Linked DNA regions of Pelodiscus sinensis. The protein of the gene in region 2 purifies or fractionates together with the protein of the main gene of each other region. This does not show direct contact. Links are inferred from orthologs where the notes say so. Each region holds a gene or a part of one and is shown on either strand. Other genes may lie near its edges. The genes, in order: NIPSNAP2, KLHL22 and EMC1.

Region 1 (3,745 bases), on a different chromosome or scaffold from region 2:
CCACATAAAAGAAGGAGATAGTTTTCTCTTAATTTCTTAATGAAATGGTGACCTTAATAATACTTTGCAATTGCATGATACTTTTAATCCAAGAACTTCAAAGAACTTTAAGAACATGGATTAATAAAGTGTTACTATACACTTGCTAAGGAGCATTCGCAACATTTTATTCTACTCTAATCTTTTTATTAGTTCAGAAACATTCCCTACAGTAGAACTTAAGTGCTTTATACATCTCATTTGGAAGAATACTCCAGTCTAACACAGTGGTTCCCAACCTTTTTTATGCTGCAGACCAGCAAACCCATTCACAAACTTTTTTCATTATGCAAATAATGAATATGCAAATAAAATATTACCTGTCCACTGATCTCCAACCCAGCCCCTTGCTCCCCAGTGCTTAACACCCTTTAATCCCTTAACCTCTGACCCCTACAACCCATGCCAATACCCTCTTGCCTTGTAACACCACCATGCCCTCACCCAACACCCCTTTGATCTTTGCCCCCATGCCCACCTATCGAGCATTGCTATTACTGCTGCGTAGGCAGGGAGAGCGGCCGTTGCCAGTGCATGCTCTCCCTCCTCCTTCACGCCCTCTCCCTCCCCAAGTGCACCTTGCGCCCCCATGGGTAGAATGGGGGGAGGGGGGTGCAGAGCTCTGGCCGGCTGCCATTACCAAAGGTGTTGGGGGACACCCTCTGTTCTGCCTCCTGAGCCCCAGCAAAAGTTGGCAAAAGCAGCTGCGCAGGCAGGGGAAGCGGCCGCTGGTTGTGCACATGCTCCCTCCTCCTTTGTACCCCCTCTTCCCCCCCAAGCAGGGAGGGGGGAGGAAGAAGGAGGAAGGGAGGCTCCTCCAGTTCCGCCTCAGCCACCATGGCTGCTCCGGCACCTGTGCTGGTCCATGGACCAGCAATTGGGAACCACTGGTCTACGGACTGGCAATTGGGAACCACTGGACTAACAGACTCTTAGATTCCAAGACCAGAAAAGACCACTGTGATGATCTAATCTGAGATCCTGTATAACAGAGGCCACAGAACTCTCTCAAAATAATTCCTAGATTTCTTGTAGAAAAACATCAAATTTTTATCTAAGAATTAGAGGGGTAGCCGTGTTAGTCTGAATCTGCAAAAGCGGCGAGGAGTCCTGTGGCACCTTAGAGACTAACTGAAGTGTAGGAGCATAAGCTTTCGTGGATCTTTGCCAACAAAAGCTTATGCTCCTACACTTCAGTTAGTCTCTAAGGTGCCACAGGACTCCTCGCTGCTATCTAAGAATTGTCAGTGATAAAGAATCCACCATGACCCTTAGTAAATTGTTCCAGTTGTTACTCTAATGGTAAAACATTTATACCTTATTTCCAGCCTGACCCTTACTGTTTGGGAATGTATCTAAATTGTAAAAACTAAATTGTAACACAGGGTAAGAAAATGTTACATCATAGATAAAGGATAGGTATATGGGGTTTCCAACAGCATAATATTTTTGGTTTTCTGGGAGCCATGTTTCTCACAGCATTACAGGCAACCTATCACGGAATCATTTTCAATCCTTTTCTTTAAGGCACAGCCTGACTTTACTGGTTATGGTCCCAATCCCACAAATTTAGAGTACTTAGAGAAACGCATGTGTGTGTTGGCAGGAACTAGACCTACAACTGCATCTGCTACGTAAACAATTGTTCTATATACAATTGTACATCCAGACTGGGTTGTAAAGAGAAAAAGTGATCAGCCAATGTGTGTACATATTTCAAACTGTTAGTGACTCTTGTAGAGAAAGAAAGAAAGAAAGAAAGAAAGAAAGAAAGAAAGAAAGAAAGAAAGAAAGATCATTGATGCCCAAGATTTCAATGGGACACTATTACTTTAAAACAATTCAACAAAACACATTTCCTTATTTTGGAAGCATCATTGGTACCCTGTTACTGAAAGGAAAATTGAAATTTTTAAAAAGCAAAGTTTAGTTTTCACTGTTTTGCTTCTGGCATTACCCTTATATTAAAAAATAATAAAAGACTAATCAGTTTCTAATCAATTTCACCTTTCTGTTCTCATATACTACCTCAGTGCTACAGCAGGCAGCTGAAAATATTGATTTAAATGGGATTCAAGACACAGGGACATATTACCATCCACCAAGTTTTCTTTTAGTCCACAACCTAGATTCAATGTTAGGACAAATCCTAACTAGCTGCCCTGATGGCGTTTCCCCGGAAAGAGAAAATGCTGAACGGAGCAGTCACTGCAATCCAGCCGACAGGCTTTGATTCCTGTTCTAAACACACATGAAAGCTGGGGCACGTACAACATAACCCAGGCTGCACGGGTCCATTCCAGCCGGGCTCAGCGGGGCGGGTCCCCCGGGGGCGTTGGGGCAGCGGGGCCCTGGCGCAGATGGCGGGAGGCCTGCGCTGCAGGGGGTCGAACGCAGGCTGCGGGGGGAGCCCCCAGTGCGGGCGGGGTACGAGGACAATGCGGGGGGGCTGCCCGCGGGCGGCCCCTGGGGGCGCGGCGAGGCCCATGACCTTGAGGGAGACCCCGGGCGAGGGGCGCTTACTCGGGGCTGAGACTTTCCCGCCCCCGCCCCCGCGGCTCCACTTACAGCCCGCGAGGGCCGGGCCCCGGGGCTGCCGCGCTCACCTGAGGGCCAGGCCGCCGCGGGCCGGGAGGCGAGGCCCGGCCCTGCCCAGCCCGCCGGCTCCCCCCAGGCTCCGCCGCAGCAGCACTCGGGTCGCCATCTTGCTCCGGCCTCTCAGTCCAGCGCGCCCCGGCCTGGGCGAAGGAGACGAGCCTGCAGTACCCGCCGGCGGCCACCAGGGGGCCTGGCACTGCGAGGGGGAGCAGCCCCCTCCCACCCGACTCTTAACCCCTTGGCTGCCGGGCTCGGCCCCCGCGTGCCTGCGGGTCCAGCCCACATCCCACGAGCCAGGCACCTGCGCCGTCAGGCGGCGGAGGGGAGCCCCATTTGCACCTGCACATCTCTTAAAACCTATTTTAACCCACCCACTGCAAGTCCCTGGAGGCTGATGCCACTGCCTGTCTTCCTCTCTTGGGGATAAAGCTACCAGTGTGTGTCTCTTTCTCTCCCCCTCACAGGGTAATAATTCTGTGTCCTCATCAACGTGTCAGGGAAGAAATATTTACCTGCATAGAGACCCAGGGCTGCCCTCAGCTCTGCCACTACTAGCTGCCAGCCTTGGCAAGCCCTTTCACCTTTCTTTGCTAGTTTTCTCCTCTGTAAAATAAGGGCAATACTTTGCCTATGCTCAACTGCTTATGTGTTTGTAATCACAGGGCCTAAGGTTTTACATGCTATCATTAGTTACCATGGTCTCTAGTCTGTAAGACAAAAAACACAACTGTGTGTACTATGAAAGCTTACAGTGTAATTGTTGGCTGCTCTTTACACTGTTGTTCCTTTCATGGAATGTGTGAGAACTCTGAACATGAAATATGTGTACATCTATCTGTAACTTGTTACCACTCCAACAACTTACTGGAAATTAGAATGCTTTTTTTTCCCTGGTGTGCTCCTGTTGGAAACCCTGTAGGTGCAGATATTAACATACAAACTTGTTCTAGTAATATACTGAAGTAACTGGCAAAACTCACTGTCATTTTCAGTGATCAAAACAATATTGGTTTGACTTGGTAGTCAATGACAATTTCTTTTTTTTCCTCCTGGAGAAGAGAACCAGAATTGGAATATATCTTCAGTGTGAAGTTAAGACATCTGTATA
Region 2 (3,745 bases):
AGTTCAACCCATCTTAGCCATACTGTTCTGGGGTCACCCAAAAGAGTCAGACAGACAACTGGACAGACAGCTTTGCAAAGCCTCCATGTCTGTTGCCAAATCCAGTTCTCCAGGAATTATGCCAGGCAGTACAGTTTTCAAACTGGAAACCCAGAGCAGAGCCTTTTCAGAATGCAGTGAAGACACACCAGCCAGCTAGTTCTGAAGATCCAGAAGGCAGTCAAGCTTTGGATAACCAGCTGTACACCTATTCTCCTTGTGCATCCTTGCATTAGTTTAACCTATAAATGGCTTCCTCATACATCACTGGGCACCCTGGAAAGCATAAAAATCTCCCTCATTAAATGAATTAAAATGAATAAAAGCAATATAGACTTCTGCATCCCACAACGGGGTCGTTGTCTTTAAAAGATGTTAGGGCTCATGTTATAAGCCCTTGTTTTAAAGAAGTTTAAAACATATGTGGAAGTGTGCTAGCCTGGTGACAGTGCTTTAATGCTACAAGTATAAGAGGGGTCGCCGTGTTAGTCTGAATCTGCAAAAGCGGCGAGGAGTCCTGTGGCACTTTATAGACTAACTGAAGTGTTGGAGCATAAGCTTTTGTGGGCAAAGACGAAATTTCCACTACCTGCATCTGACGAAGTGGGTCTTTGCCCATGAAAGCTTATTCTCCAGCACTTCATTTAGTCTATAAGGTGCCACAGGACTCCTCGCCGTTAAAGCTACAAAGGACTTATTGATTCAGATGCCCTTGCGTTCTCATCCAGAGAGGGCTGGAGTGATAGGGAAGTGAATGCACTGAGTTCAGAGGTGAACAAGCCCATTAAGTGTCTACATTGCAGGTCTGACAGACTTTGACACGTTGAAGACCAATCCCGCCTCCCATCCACAAAGTCCTCAGGCACGTGCCTGTATGTTCTCAGCACGTGCGCTTGGTGGCTCATCCAGGGATACAGGTATAAGCTTGTCTCACTGTACCATATTTCTACCCTCCCACTTTGTGTTGAAGACAGAGCTAAGAGTTTGCGTAGCTAGGTTCATGCTGAGACAGTCCATCAAAGCTGTCCCACAATTTCTGGGGCCTGTGTGTGCTGGTTTTTCTAATTCCCAAGCCCCTACTCACCTCAAGCAACCCCAGCTTCCAGAGATGTGAAATTTGTCAATGCACGGATGGTATAGACAAGGCATGGGCATGCATAACACTACAGCGCATACGCGTATCAGCAAGATGGACAAACACAGCCTCACAGGCAGAGGTGCCCAGACACAGTTATATTATGCAGCGTAGGCATACTCTGAGCTGCTAGGAGGAGAAAGGAGTGACTTACATCGTTCAATTGCAACCTACCCACAGCTGAGTGGACGGGGTCCCTAAGGAAGACCCATGCAATCCCTGTTTGGAATGATAATGGCTGTTATGTCAGGCTTTATGGACTGAACAACTAGGCGTTGTTTTACTCTTTGAGTACAAAGAAACCGATTTGCTCTAGATGTGATCAGAGCTGAAATCTGGGAGTGTGTGTTTTGGACCAGTGTGACCTTACTCCAGACTTGGGGAAGCATGGGGAGTCCCAAGGGCGAAAAGACAGAAGTCCAGCCAGGATTCAGAAGGTTTGAGTCATGGAGAAAGATGCTGGTTAAAGATTAACCAGTGACATGGCACATACCTGAAATAGTCACACGATGCAGCCAGAAGTATCCGATGAGCTTCAATGGGTTTCCCTTCCACTACCAGGACTACATCAAACAGGATGCCACTATCTCGGAGGGAGACCAAGCCGCTGAGTAAGGACTGGGAATGCTGTGCACTGCGGTACGTGTGGCTGCTGCATTGCTGGAGGGAGGTCTCCCAGGGAGTCTTGCATGTCTGAGTCAGCTCCTGATCTTCTGCCATCACCAGTAGAAATGTTCAGAACCTCACAGCCACCAGTTACAGCAAGATGAGTTCTGAGACCACAGAAATAGCCAAAGTTTGCGTGTGCTGATTCCCTCGCAGCATTTTAACTCTTACCGCACTGAACAAGCGGGTCCGCTCAGTGGCGGTACCACGCCGTTTGCAAACCTATTCCATGACTGCTTTGAGAGGCCCTGGGGAGCACGGCCTCTGTTAGTTTTTCACACCCCTTGAGAAGAGGTTTAAATAGAAACCGGGAGCAGTTCTCACATTACCATACGCACTTTCCCCTGGAGGTACCATCTCGTGGCTGCTGGAGAGGAGCCACATGCACGCGGATGTAACTGGCGCTGCTGCCACCCTCCCAGACCTGCCTCCTGCCGTTTCTTTCCCCTGCAGGCGGCTGAGGGAGCGAGCCGCGTCTCACCACAGCCTCAGGCGCGGCCAGACGCCTCCTGGTGCCTGCTGTGGGAGCCTAACCCGGCCATGCCCGGCGGCGCGCTGGGGGCCCGGCCTGACTTTCTTTCTTTTTGGTTGTTCCGCAAGGAGCCCGCTGACTCGCCCCTTTAACGCGGGGCCCGAACCCGCCTGCGGCCGCGGGGGCGCGTGTAAAGCGGGGGGGGGGGGGGGGCAGAACCGGCGGGAAGCGGCTCCTCCCCTGCAGCCCCCCCCCCCAGCGGGGCCGGCCGCTCTCCCGCCGCGGGGGGGGGCGGCACCGGGCCTGTCAGTCACTCGCGGGGCCAGCACTGGGGGGGCGGGGCGCCGTTATCCCGGGGGGGGGGGGGCGCCCCTCCCCCCGCAGCGCTGCGCTCACCTGCCGGCAGCGGCGACCCCGAGCCTCCGCCTGCCCCAGCGCCCGCCGCCCGCTTCCGGGTTCGCCCGCACCATCGAGTCGGGCCAGAGCGCCCTTCCCACGTGACCGAACGGAGCGCGCGCTCCCCCCCCCCCACTTAAAGGGACCCGCCCCCCTGGCGCGTGTCGTGTCTTTCGAACGCGTGTGGGGCGGGTGCGGCGCCCCCTGCAGGAGGGGCCAGGGCCTGGTCTGTGCACAGCCGGGTCCAGCCCTTCCGCCCCCAGGCCCTGCGGGGACCCGGTGCATGGTCCGGCAGGGAGCGCCTTGGAGCGCCTCCCTCCGCAGCGCCCCGTATGCCGGCAGCTCCCTTTATCCACCCGCGAGGCCGCTCCGAGCCCCCGGAATTCTACCAGGAACGCCTCCCGACCTGGAAGCGCTGGCCGGCCACCTGGTCCGTTGTGGCCGCCCAGGGAGCAGACCTCCTCACGGAGCCCCTGCTCCACAATCCCGCCTTGTGCGTGCAGGTGTGGGGTCTCCCACGGTGCGCCGGAGACTGAGCCTGGCAGAAACCACCATGGTCAGAGACCTCCTGGACTACGACAGGGGGGACGGGGTGGAGCCCTGAGTGCTCGCTCGGTGCATGGGGCTTTCCACCCTCTGAACCCCCCCTGCGCATACTCCAGGAGGTGGAGGCGGCTTTGTGGCGGCCCGCTCTCAACCTTCTGCAGCGGTCCCTGCGAGAGGGTATGCCCCGTCCCTCCTGCAAAGCCTCCGCCCCTTTTATTGGGCCCCTGTTCCGCGCCCCCCCCCCCCCCCCAGCATCTCCACCCCTGGACTCCCAGCCGGCTGCAAAATCTGTAGCCGGTCTGTTTTCGGACCGCGCCTAGGGAACAGCTGTACACATTCGTGCTGCACACTCTGCATTTCCCCACCCTCGTGTCCCGCCCCGATACCAAGTGGCAGGACTATCTAAGATCCGTTGAGGGTGGGGGATCCCGATGGGCCAGTGTGTATTCTACCTTAATCCCGCGGCCCATCGGAGACATCAGTTGGCGGCT
Region 3 (3,745 bases), on a different chromosome or scaffold from region 2:
CTGGTTGGTCCAGTAGCGCCGCTCTGGGCGCTACTGGACCAACCCGGCAGCACCCCAGCTGCTCTGCCCTAGGCGTCCTGATTCAGCCACTGCTGGTCAGTTTCAGCAGCGGCTGAATCAGGACGCCTGGGACAGAGCAGCTTGGGTGCTGCTGGGTTTGTCCAGTAGCACCGAGGAGCGGCGCTACTGGAGCAACCCAGCAGCACCCAAGCTGCTCTGCCCCGGGCGTCCCCAAGTCAGCCGCTGCTGAAACTGACCAGCGCTGACTACAGGAAGCCCGAGGCAGAGTTGCTCTGCCCCGGGCTTCCTGGAATCAGCCGCTGATCAGTTTCAGCAGCAGCTGACTTGGGGACGCCTGCGGTTCTTAAGTTGAATCTGTATGTAAGAACTGGCGTCCAGATTCAGCCTGTTGAAACTGATCAGCGGCTGATTCCAGGAAGCCCGGGGTAGAGCAACTCTGCCTCGGGCTTCCTGTAGTCAGCCGCTGGTCAGTTTCAGCAGCGGCTGAATCTGGATGCCAGTTCCGACTTACATACAGATTCAACTTAAGAACAAACCTACAGTCCCTATCTTGTACGTAACCCGGGGACTGCCTGTATATTAATTAATAATAAATGAAAAAAATGAACGGTTGCATTGCAGTATAACCAGTCTCATTCTTGCATTTTCATTAAATACTTTCAAAGCATACGGCAATTGGTACATTCCTACGTCTCTAGGTTGAAAGCCGCTGTTGTTCCAAGGTCGTTTTCCCCCTCCCCAGTGAGACGGAAAGCAGACTCCCTCAGCGAAAGGCAGGCAGGGAGCGGTTTTGCAGGGCACAGGGCTGTCAATCCGAGGCAGCAGTAGGGCAAATAGCTGGTCCATAAAGCACTTTTCCGGACCAGCCCCCAACAGATGTTTCAATAGCTGGGGCTCCCCCCCCCCACGGCCGGCCCCCTACAGATGTTTCCATAGCTGGGGCTCCCCCCCCCCACGGCCGGCCCCCTACAGATGTTTCAATGGCTGGGGCTCCCCCCCCCCACGGCCAACCCCCTACAGATGTTTCGATGGCTGGGGCTCCCCCCCCCCACGGCCGGCCCCCTACAGATGTTTCAATGGCTGGGGCTCCACCACCCCCCCACGGCCGGCCCCCTACAGATGTTTCAATGGCTGGGGCTCCCCCCCCCACGACCGGCCCCCTACAGATATTTCAATGGCTGGGGCTCCCCCCCCCCCACGGCCGGCCCCTTACAGATGTTTCAATGGCTGGGGCTCCCCCCCCACGGCCAGCCCCCTACAGATGTTTCAATGGCTGGGGCTCCCCCCCCCCACGGCCAGCCCCCTACAGATGTTTCAATGGCTGGGGCTCCCCCCCCCACGGCCAGCCCCCTACAGATGTTTCAATGGCTGGGGCTCCCCCCCCCCACGGCCAGCCCCCTACAGATGTTTCAATGGCTGGGGCTCCCCCCCCCACGGCCAGCCCCCTACAGATGTTTCAATAGCTGGGGCTCCCCCCCCCACGGCCGGCCCCCTACAGATGTTTCAATGGCTGGGGCTCCCCCCCCCACGGCCAGCCCCCTACAGATGTTTCGATGGCTGGGGCTCCCCCCCCAACGGCCGGCCCCCTACAGATGTTTCAATGGCTGGGGGTCCCCCCCCCACGGCCGGCCGGGCAATGCGCGTGCAGCAAATCTGCACCCCAGAGGGCATCTCCCCCCCGCAGACACCAGCGCCCGTGACAGCCTCGCGGGGCCAGGCTCGGGCTCCTCCTTCGCTTCGGGGGGGGGGGGGCAGGAGAGGCCCGGGCACAGCCTCGGAACAGCGGGGGGAGGGAGGAGCGGGGCAGCCCACCCAGAGCTGGGGGGGGGGGTGCACACGTCAGTATCCAGGGCTTGGAGCGATGTCAGCCCCCCCCCCCCGGCTGATGGGGGTGGACGGAGCCAGTGAACAGGGTCCGGCGCTGCTGATGGGGGGGGGGGAAATACCCGGATGTGGCCCCAGCACCCACCAGTCGAACTTGCCCACTTGATCCTCATAGACGGCGGCCGCCAGCGGGGCCAGCAGCAGCAGCAGCCAGGGCCAGGCAGCGGCCGTCATGGTCCGAGCCGGAAGCCCTATCCCGACAGGCAGCGCGCCCGCTCCGCCGAGCCGCAGCGGGGCGGGGCCTCGTCTACTGCGGGCTGCCCTTCTCGGAGCCTGCGTGGAGGGGAAAGAGAGTCCCTCGAGTGGAGGGGGCGGGGGAGGCGCGCGGGGAGAGGCTTCTTCTCGGAAAGGCCCGCGCTGGGCCGGCTGCAGCGGGAGGGACCATCCCGCGAAGGCAGCTCTGGTCAGGCACCTCCTCGGGCACCTCCGGGGGCTTCCTATCCCGGCAGCCCTCGCGGCGCAGGGGGGTCCTCGCGGCGCTCAGCAACGTGCGAGCCATGCCTAAATCCAAGCGGGACAAGAAGAGTGAGTGACCCCCCTTCCCCGCCAGGGGTCCCGCCAGCGCCGCCCCCTCCTGGATGGGGGCCTTGCCCTGCTCAGGCGGGGGGGCTCTGGGGGCGGCCTGGGCCGCTCGCGTCTCGGTGCCACCGTCCCTGTCCCGCTGAGGGGGTTGTTCGGTGGGTGTGGGTCTGATGGTTCATGCGGGGGGGGGAGGTCAGGCAGGCGAGGCTGGGTTGATTGGCCTGGCAATTAGAGAACCACTCCAGCAGCCTCTAAAGCGGTTTCCCTTCTAGTTACGAGTTTCTTAGAGGGATGTAAAATCCCAGTTAATCAATTAAGGGGGCAGCAGGTGGGGAGGAGGGCGGGGGGGGGGGGGCTGTGCTCCAACCTGGCTGGGATGGAGAGGCACCCCTGCCTTCAGAGCATGTGAGCCCGCTGCAAAGGCTGCAGTGGGCCTCATGGGGCTGGAGCATCCCCCTGCCTGTGGCAGTTGGGGAGCTACTCCAGTCCCTACACAATAACCGGAACCAGTAAGTATCATCCATTAAGGGTGATGGTTACTGGTTAACCTTTCACATCCCTAGTTTCTTATCTCCTACCAAGAGTGTTGCAAATATGTGGGGACACTCTGTTGCGTATCACTGGTTTGTAGAGCAGGGTTGCAAGAACTAAACATAACCCTGATCCTACACTGTGCAGGGCTAGAGGGTTGCACACGGTGTTCTAAGAGTAAATCAGAAGTCTCCTGAGTTAATTAAAGTTGATGTCCGTATTGTATTTGGCAGCCACGCTTCTGTGCTTTTTATCTGTACTTTCCCTAAAGGGTGCCTGACCTACAGATAACAGCAACTCCTCTTCTTCCTTTTAGTTTCCCTAACAAAAACCCCAAAGAAAGGCTTAGAAGTCAAACAGAGCTTAATAGAAGAGGTAAGTAAGAGCATATATCTTAAGGTACTGAGCTTAGTTTTCCATTCTGTATTGAATCTATAGAATCTCTTCCTGTGAGGATCTTAATGTATTTTACACAGACTAAGTCTCACAGTATGCTTTACGGATGTGAGGAAACTGATGCACACAGAGGCAATTTGACTAGACTCCAGCAACAGAAAAGAAAGTTTGAGAATGGTCCACTGTTGCCAGATAAATTCATTATTAATCTGATTCTTTTTTAAAAGTTATACTGCATATAACAAAACTACCTCACAATTTAAGCTGAGTGCCAGGAGGGTCATAAAATTGACCAATTACATTATAGAAGTTTCTCAGTCTATTCGTGTATTGGCTTCTACCAGGGTCAGGATGTTGCATGAATTGTGCAGAGCAGTTTGGCAACTCCTGT

What was found.
Region 1: the proteins of KLHL22 (region 2) and NIPSNAP2 purify together in Homo sapiens (co-immunoprecipitation; 3 studies listed by BioGRID and IntAct, counting the BioPlex papers as one, with this or other methods). This does not show direct contact. The link is inferred for Pelodiscus sinensis from reciprocal best matches to the Homo sapiens genes KLHL22 and NIPSNAP2.
Region 3: the proteins of KLHL22 (region 2) and EMC1 purify together in Homo sapiens (co-immunoprecipitation; 3 studies listed by BioGRID and IntAct, with this or other methods). This does not show direct contact. The link is inferred for Pelodiscus sinensis from reciprocal best matches to the Homo sapiens genes KLHL22 and EMC1.

The regions. Positions count from the first base shown.
Region 1 is NC_134731.1:20,287,313-20,291,057, forward strand, and holds the start of NIPSNAP2 (protein NipSnap homolog 2), read right to left. Parts: upstream 2,811-3,745; 5' UTR 2,744-2,810; coding exon 2,646-2,743; intron 1-2,645. UniProt on the Homo sapiens protein: Protein involved in mitophagy by facilitating recruitment of the autophagy machinery required for clearance of damaged mitochondria.
Region 2 is NC_134725.1:6,513,052-6,516,796, forward strand, and holds the start of KLHL22 (kelch-like protein 22), read right to left. Parts: upstream 2,848-3,745; 5' UTR 2,709-2,847; intron 2,346-2,708; exon of another isoform or gene 2,322-2,345; intron 1,948-2,321; 5' UTR 1,895-1,947; coding exon 1,668-1,894; intron 316-1,667; exon of another isoform or gene 189-315; intron 1-188. UniProt on the Homo sapiens protein: Substrate-specific adapter of a BCR (BTB-CUL3-RBX1) E3 ubiquitin ligase complex required for chromosome alignment and localization of PLK1 at kinetochores.
Region 3 is NC_134733.1:7,467,921-7,471,665, forward strand, and holds the start of EMC1 (ER membrane protein complex subunit 1), read right to left. Parts: upstream 2,151-3,745; 5' UTR 2,080-2,150; coding exon 1,991-2,079; intron 1-1,990. Other genes in the region: MRTO4 (mRNA turnover protein 4 homolog), read left to right, coding at 2,403-2,430, 3,275-3,333. UniProt on the Homo sapiens protein: Part of the endoplasmic reticulum membrane protein complex (EMC) that enables the energy-independent insertion into endoplasmic reticulum membranes of newly synthesized membrane proteins.